2 linked regions of the Arabidopsis thaliana genome follow. The protein of the gene in region 2 interacts with the protein of the main gene of each other region in a pairwise test. Each region holds a gene or a part of one and is shown on either strand. Other genes may lie near its edges.

What was found. Proteins that work in one complex are often made in the same cells at the same time.
Region 1: the proteins of AT5G55220 (region 2) and FIB interact in a two-hybrid assay, tested with the Arabidopsis thaliana proteins (one large-scale study listed by BioGRID).

The regions. Positions count from the first base shown.
Region 1 is NC_003075.7:1,930,126-1,933,879, forward strand, and holds the start of FIB (fibrillin), read left to right. Parts: upstream 1-1,757; 5' UTR 1,758-2,035; coding exon 2,036-2,481; intron 2,482-2,823; coding exon 2,824-3,019; intron 3,020-3,106; coding exon 3,107-3,421; 3' UTR 3,422-3,754. UniProt on the Arabidopsis thaliana protein: Probably involved in light/cold stress-related jasmonate (JA) biosynthesis. Contributes to the protection of photosystem II (PSII) against light stress.
Region 2 is NC_003076.8:22,395,833-22,399,586, reverse strand, and holds the start of AT5G55220 (trigger factor type chaperone family protein), read right to left. Parts: upstream 2,131-3,754; 5' UTR 1,911-2,130; coding exon 1,590-1,910; intron 1,481-1,589; coding exon 1,397-1,480; intron 1,303-1,396; coding exon 1,174-1,302; intron 1,014-1,173; coding exon 925-1,013; intron 817-924; coding exon 633-816; intron 373-632; coding exon 282-372; intron 177-281; coding exon 22-176; intron 1-21. Other genes in the region: AT5G55210 (uncharacterized protein), read left to right, coding at 2,213-2,518, 2,597-2,734, 2,818-2,880; MGE1 (Co-chaperone GrpE family protein), read right to left, coding at 3,252-3,350, 3,486-3,614, 3,703-3,754. UniProt on the Arabidopsis thaliana protein: Involved in protein export. Acts as a chaperone by maintaining the newly synthesized protein in an open conformation. Functions as a peptidyl-prolyl cis-trans isomerase.

The sequences.
Region 1 (3,754 bases), on a different chromosome or scaffold from region 2:
CTTTTGTTTTCACTCTCTGCTGCATGAGATAGTGAAAGATTTTCCCAGAAAATCTGATTCCCTTCTTAGCCTTCATTTTTGGTCCCAATTCAACTAGAAGACCAAGAAACGAACTTCTAATCTTCTGAAATAAACACTCGCCTAAAGCTTCCTCTACTTTACTAACTAAATTCCAATCCAAGTATTGTTGAACGGTTCCCAGTGCAATAGATTCCTCACCTTCTCTGTAGATCTGTTCAGGCAATGTAAGGATTTCACTCTCTGAATCCATCTGCAAAACATGTTATGAAACATCGTCAGATCTACTATAAAATCGACTATAAAATCGATTATAAAAACGGTTACCGTCGGATCTATCGATATCTCTGGGGATTGTTTGCGTCGTAGAGAAATGATCTGAATCCGTCAGCGAAGAACAGATTTATCGGAGAGGAAATTCGTCAGCGATTTTGGGGTTTCTCGGAGAGAAAATTTGTCGGCGATTTTGAGTGAAATCGGAGAGGAAATTCGTTGGCGATTTTGAGTGAAATCGGAGAGGAAATTCGTCGGCAATTTTGAGTGAAATCGGAGAGGAAATTCGCCGGCGATTTTGAGTGAAATCGGATAGGAAAATTCGTTGGCCAAAACGAAGAAGTTTGTGCCAAAACGAATTGTATTGTGAAACGAATGTGAAACCTAATCATTCAGTAAGGGTAAGACAGTCATTTGCCATATTAGAAAGGGTAGTTTTAAAAATGGCCTTCAGGAAAGGACATTTTTACAAAAGGTTATTAGAATAAGGGCAGTTTTGCAAATCTCCCAATTAAATATTAAAGTATTTTGAATCAATGGCATTTTTGTAATTAATCTAAACCGGAAGGATATTTTTTGGTTTATATTTTATTTCTCTTTCCTATTTACGTAAATAACATATTTTTATGTATAAATTCTTAATATTCTGTTTATCCATGTATATATTTTTAACTCACCCTATAGTTTTCTAAGTAATTTAAGTATTTTGGTTACATTTGGTTATATTTTGGTAAAATATAACTAATATATTTTTGGATAAACTAATCAGGCATCTCGGTTAGATTTAGGTATAGATGAGTAAAAAACTCGAACTCGACCTGAACCCAAAAATATTTTGAGTATTTTTGATTATTTTTCAATTCTTACTAAAATAACTAAATCGATCCAAACTCAAACCAAAACCGAACCAAAATTTTAGAATACATGAATGGTTTTTAACTTCATACCTAAATAGATCCGATACTCAAAAAAAAAAAGAACCGAACAGATATGAGTACCCGAATATCTACACCTGCCCAGTATTATTATTATTATTTTTTTTGAACAAACACCGGTACTATTATTTTACCAGCTAATTTTTCTCCCTTTAAGAACGTTTTGGACCTATTGGTCTATTGGATACAAAACTATTGTATTCATTTTAAATTTTTAATGGGTCTTCTTTGTTAATAAAGGCCCATTAAATATACTATCCAGGCCCATTTAGTCCAACTACTTATTACACTGTTGATTAATCGCCGTTTAGATATTTTGCATTGGAGAGAATCTTCACCGTTCAGAAAACTGAAGATCGAAGATCACCAAAACCGGCCAAAAAGTATAGTACACGTCCGAAGATTCTAGATCCATCATGCCATTTGCATTGCATGGCCTAACTCTCGTAGAAAACCCAAACAAATTCTCCCCCACACAAATAATGGGACAAAAACCAAATTAAACCAAATTGTTTCCCTATTGAAGAAAATAAAATCTTCCACAAATTTTATGAATTTTTCATAAAGTCGGCAACTTCACACGAGTCCAGGTCGATTCTTAAAACAATGATCTTTAACCATCCACGTGTCAAAATCCCACCTTAGCTTACCTCATTTGTTCTATTCCAAATACCTATTCTATCCCTTGGATCTTGACTTATATGTTCATAAGAAAGTGTACCAGATAAGGGTATATACGTCATTTACAGTCCAGCTCAACGGTTATAAAATCCTAATTCGTGAGGTTTCTCTGAAGAACAAACACAAAAATGGCGACGGTACCATTGTTCACCCAGTTTCCCTGCAAAACCCTAAATCCAAGCTCATCAAACACTAAACACCAATCGAAATCTCCGATCCTACTACCGATTAACTCAATAAATCGGCGATCGGAGATTGGAGTCTCTGTTCATCGGCCAGATTTCAAAATCCGAGCGACGGACATCGACGACGAATGGGGTCAAGATGGAGTGGAGAGAGTATTTGCCTCATCTTCAACCGTATCGGTAGCAGATAAAGCAATCGAATCCGTGGAGGAGACGGAGAGGCTAAAGAGATCACTAGCGGATTCGTTGTACGGAACAGATCGAGGTTTAAGCGTATCGAGTGATACGAGAGCTGAGATCAGCGAGCTCATCACACAGCTCGAGTCTAAGAACCCTACTCCAGCTCCTAACGAAGCTCTGTTTCTCCTCAACGGCAAATGGATCCTCGCGTAAGTACTTTTAGTTCTGATACTCTCCTAGGCACGGCATGTAATATTAGTTTTGTCCCAAACATTACTCAAACCGGTGATCTCTAAGCTTCGTCTAGGATCTTTACCAATTAAGTTAATGATACTTTAAACTTACCGGTGGAAGTTTAATTTCCCGGTGAAAACTGTTTAGTTCCGTTATGAATGATTTGATTTTGATAGTGAAAAGCAAGTTGTGGTTACAAAGAAGATTTAATTATGAATTTGGATTATGATTCTGTGTGTAGTTATGAGCCTTCGTTTATTTTTAGCCGTTATTGTTATGAATCAAGAACTTAGTTTTTAAGTGTTTATCTCGTGAAGCTACACGTCGTTCGTGGGGTTGTTCCCATTGCTCTCACGAAGAATTGAACCGTTGGTTAAAGTGGATGAGATCTCACAAACCATTGATTCCGATAGCTTCACCGTTCAAAACTCTGTCCGGTTCGCTGGTCCGTTTTCCACAACGTCGTTTAGCACCAACGCTAAGTTTGAAATCCGAAGTCCTAAACGTGTCCAGGTAAATCAAGAATCATCCCCTAAAACCACAAATGGCAAATGCTAATGTTACATAACCTAATTGTTTTTTTTGTTTTGTTTGTTGTAGATTAAGTTCGAGCAAGGTGTTATAGGGACTCCTCAGCTAACGGATTCGATTGAAATACCGGAATCCGTGGAGGTTCTTGGTCAGAAAATCGATCTCAATCCCATTAAAGGTTTACTTACATCAGTCCAAGACACTGCTTCTTCAGTGGCTAGAACCATTTCAAACCAACCACCATTGAAGTTTTCTCTGCCTAGTGACAACACGCAGTCGTGGCTGCTCACAACTTATCTCGACAAGGACCTTCGGATCTCGAGAGGCGATGGTGGAAGCGTCTATGTGCTCATCAAAGAAGGAAGCTCTCTCTTAAACCCTTAAATCATCATAACTCTCATCACATCCATAGTAACATATATACAAGTATAGACCCATCTGTCTATGTTTACTAGTGTTGTAACTGTTATATAGCTTCTTTACCTGTTGGAGAGTTATAAACTTATAATGGATGTTACTCTTGGTATACTGTACTACAATACATATACATAACTACATACTTGAACAGGCCAGTTATGGGTTTGCAACAGCAACACTTAGCATTGGTTCAAATTTGGTATACTAGGAGGGTTTGCATTCTGTATGGCATTCGGTTTTCCGGTTTAGTTTCAGTTCGAACTTTTGACTCGGATTGGATCAGGTTGTCAGCATTTTGGT
Region 2 (3,754 bases):
TATATAGAAAGACGAGCTCACAGTGAATTGAGCACGTTGGCCACGTAGACTTTCTTGTTTCCATGATTCAGGAAACACAAGCGTGAATGACTTTGATTCGCCTGCTCGAATTCCTATGATTGCATCAAGGAATCCAGGAAGTAATCTATTCCCTTCTTCAGTGTCAAAGTGAAAACCTGTTCACACAACCGCCAATCTCAGTATTCATTTGCAAGCAATGATTTCAATGGACTAAGAGATTTCAACCACAAATCTCTGTTGAAATATAACAGTTCTAAAACCTTTGCTTTCAGCATCTGGAATCGCTTGACCCGTTGACCCGTCCTCATCTATAGTTGTAGCAGAAATATCAACAACTGCTAGATCTCCCACCTACACGGTTTTAGGACATAATAAAAAAGCAATTCTAGCAACTATATCATCTTTGCAGAGTTAACTACGAACAAATGAAGCCAGATTCATAGCCAAATTATTTTAAAAAAACTTAAATCTATAATAAGCTATAGTGGATGAACTTAAATGTAACGACTAACGAGGTAAAAGGTCGGTCCTATTTTAACTCAGCAATTAGCAACCTTACACTAGTTTCAGAAAACAATGCAAGGACATGGGGAATTTATGCATTCCTTTACCTGTAGCCCTCGCTCGGTTACAATCTTCAACGCACCAAGAGACTTGTATTTCTGTCTTAGTTGTCTTTCACAAGCTTTTTTTGCATCTATCTCATCGCCTAGTTCTACAACGACCTTCATATTTTTATACCCATCCTCAGGATTCCATTTTAGTTCAGGTACAACATCAACAACCACCTCATAACTAAGGAACAAGAGAAAATCAGAAAAAAAAAAACAAAAAAAACATGTTAAGTTAGTTAGCATCATTACTCCAAAAGATTTTTAGTATATGTGATGAAGAAACAAAAACCTAAGAGTCTTGAGCTTAGAATAAGCCTTCTCCATATCTGGAAAACTGCTTACAATCTGTATCGAGTCTTTTAAAGCCCTTCCAGTCACCTACAAAAACCAAAATCTCATATGCATAATGTTCCAAGACAACAAACACCGAATTTAGATACACCACAAGACTTGTTCTTGCCAAATGGCCAAAACATTATATTAAACCGCGGAAGATTGAAAAACATAAACAAACTAATATAAACATTTGAAAACTTACTGATTCCATGGCGTGAGGAAGTGTTCTCTTTAAGATAGATTCAACAGTTGCTCTCAGAACATATTGCCTCCCAACGAAACCAACAATAATATTCTCTGGAACTCTTGTTTTAGGACGGAATCCAGGCACCTGATTCAAACCAAGTAAAATCACAATCAACAGCAAGCATTACATGGATCAAGTTTCAACATTTCATCTTCATGTAAGATGAATATTAGTTTACCTTTGAGAGTTTCATGAATTCGGTAAGGACTCGTTGGTAACAATCTTCACAGACAATTTCTGGAACTTCCACACTCAATTTCACCTAAATTGAACAGTAAATCAAATTTCAAGTCATGTCAAAACTCAGACCAAACACAATGCTACACATATTCTCCAACAAATAGACAAAAAAAAAATTGAAAGTCTCTTACACTTGAATTCGCCTGTACAGTCTCCGTGACCTTAAGATCAGCTGGAAGTTTGTCTTCCTTTACACTAGTTTCAACCGCTGGAGAAGCCGCCGCGAATAGCCTAAAATTACCACCATGTGACATAAAATCTCCGAAAAATCCAATTTTTCTAGAGACACAAGACATGTCCAAAGGCCTGCTAATTGGTTTCTTCAACCTCCCACCAAACTGTAGCACACTATCTGATTGGAAGAGACGGGAACTAACACGACGTGTAATAGACGGAAGAAACGGATTAATTGCCTTCACCGTCGTAGTCGTGCTGATAACACAGAGCTCCATTTTCGCTCTCTCTTCTTGCTTATACTGAACAGAGCTAATGAATGAAGCGCCACTTCTTCTTGCTTCTACTTTCAGATAAACAGAGTTATCTCCTTAAAACGCTGCGTTTCGACTAATCAACAAATCTCTCTTTAAAACGCTACGTTTCAACTAATTAACAATTATCTCACTAAAACGCCGCGTTTTGAAGCCATATCACATAAATACGCCGCGTTTGTGGCTATATCACATCAAAACGCAGCGTTTTCTAGCTGATAGATAAAGCAACTATTTTCCCGGCTAGTGAGAAGAGAGAGAAGAGAATGGAAGGTGTAGGATCGAGATTGAGCCGGACGTCATCGAGATACAGTGGTCCGGCGGCGACGGCGGTGTTCAGTGGCCGTGTAAGGAAATGGAAGAAGAAGTGGGTACGTGTCTCAACCTCATCCGTCGGTGTTTTCAGAGCATCTAAATCCAACGGTCGTAACAACAGCAACAACAGTAACTCACCACACCATCTACTTCTCCATAAGTGGACTCCACTTACCTCAGCGACGGTTACTGCCTCCGACGCTAATGGTTCCGGTGAGACAGAGGAGTCGCCTAAGCGAAGATTCAGATACGCTCCAGTAAGTTTTTTTTCCCCAAATCATTAAATTAGGGTTTTAGTTGTGTGGGATTAGTGGAAAATGATTGATTTTGTGTAGATTGCGATGCTTGAGCATAGAGAAAAAGTGATTTCTAAGGATTCTGAAATTGAAGAGACTGAAGAATTCGACACTGAATCTCCATTACCTAAAGCTGTTGAGCTAGACATGAACCTAACAGACTCAGACCAAACTAAGGTAAGCTTCATTTAAAACTCAAGCAATGTAATGAAAGTGGTTAGTGTTTGTTCATACTTGTGTTTTATAAACTTACTCTGCAGGAAGCAAAAACTGGTAATTTGAATCTGGGACTGTGTCTGAATTCTGAAGGGACTGAAGAATGAAGAGAATCATATTGATTTGGGATGAGCAACTATAAAATGTGTTCAGCTGTGATGATGTCTTATATTGTATCTTATGCTAGGCGGTTATTCCACTTTGACGTCTTCTAGATCTCTATGTAGTGTGTTTGTAAGTTAGGAAGAAGTTATATAAATGTAAGATTTGAAGCTTTTACCAAGAGTTTGGCTTTGGCTTATGAATTTGTGTAAAAGTTACAGAACCAGGGCTTCCCTGGAAGTACAGAGCATAGTCATGCTACCTTATGGGAATCTTGTTCCTCCAATGAATATGCAAAGAAAGAGAACTATTAACTAAAAAAAGAACTCATGAAGATGTTAAAAACAAAAGCTTAACTCTCGATGTTTTAAGTATTTCAAGCTGCAGACTCTTTGCCGCCTTCTTGATTCTCCACGGCGCAAGTAACACCAACCTCAGCTGGCCTTATAACTCGATCGTACAATGAGTATCCAGACTGCAAATATGGAAGAAAAAAAAACAGTTATAAAATGATGGCAGAGAATCCATGATATTGTGTGGATTTCTAAAAGTTAACATAGGCTTAAGAGTTAAAGCAAGAAAGAGAGCAATCCTTTGAATAGTTTAGTACCTTTAGGACATGAGCAATTGTGCCTTTTGGCTTGGAAGCATCTGGGACTTGGAACACTGCGTTATGTCTGTTTGGATTAAACGGTTCATTTAAAGGATCTTCTTTCACCAAACCAGCTTTTCTAAACACCTGCAGTTTTACATACAAAATTGCATTCTCAGCACCAGTCTTATTATCATTGTTTACCTCAAAAGATATATATAATGGACGTTTTTACCTCAGCTAATTGTTTCTCAGTCATCTCCACTCCTTCTAATAGGTTTTTTAAC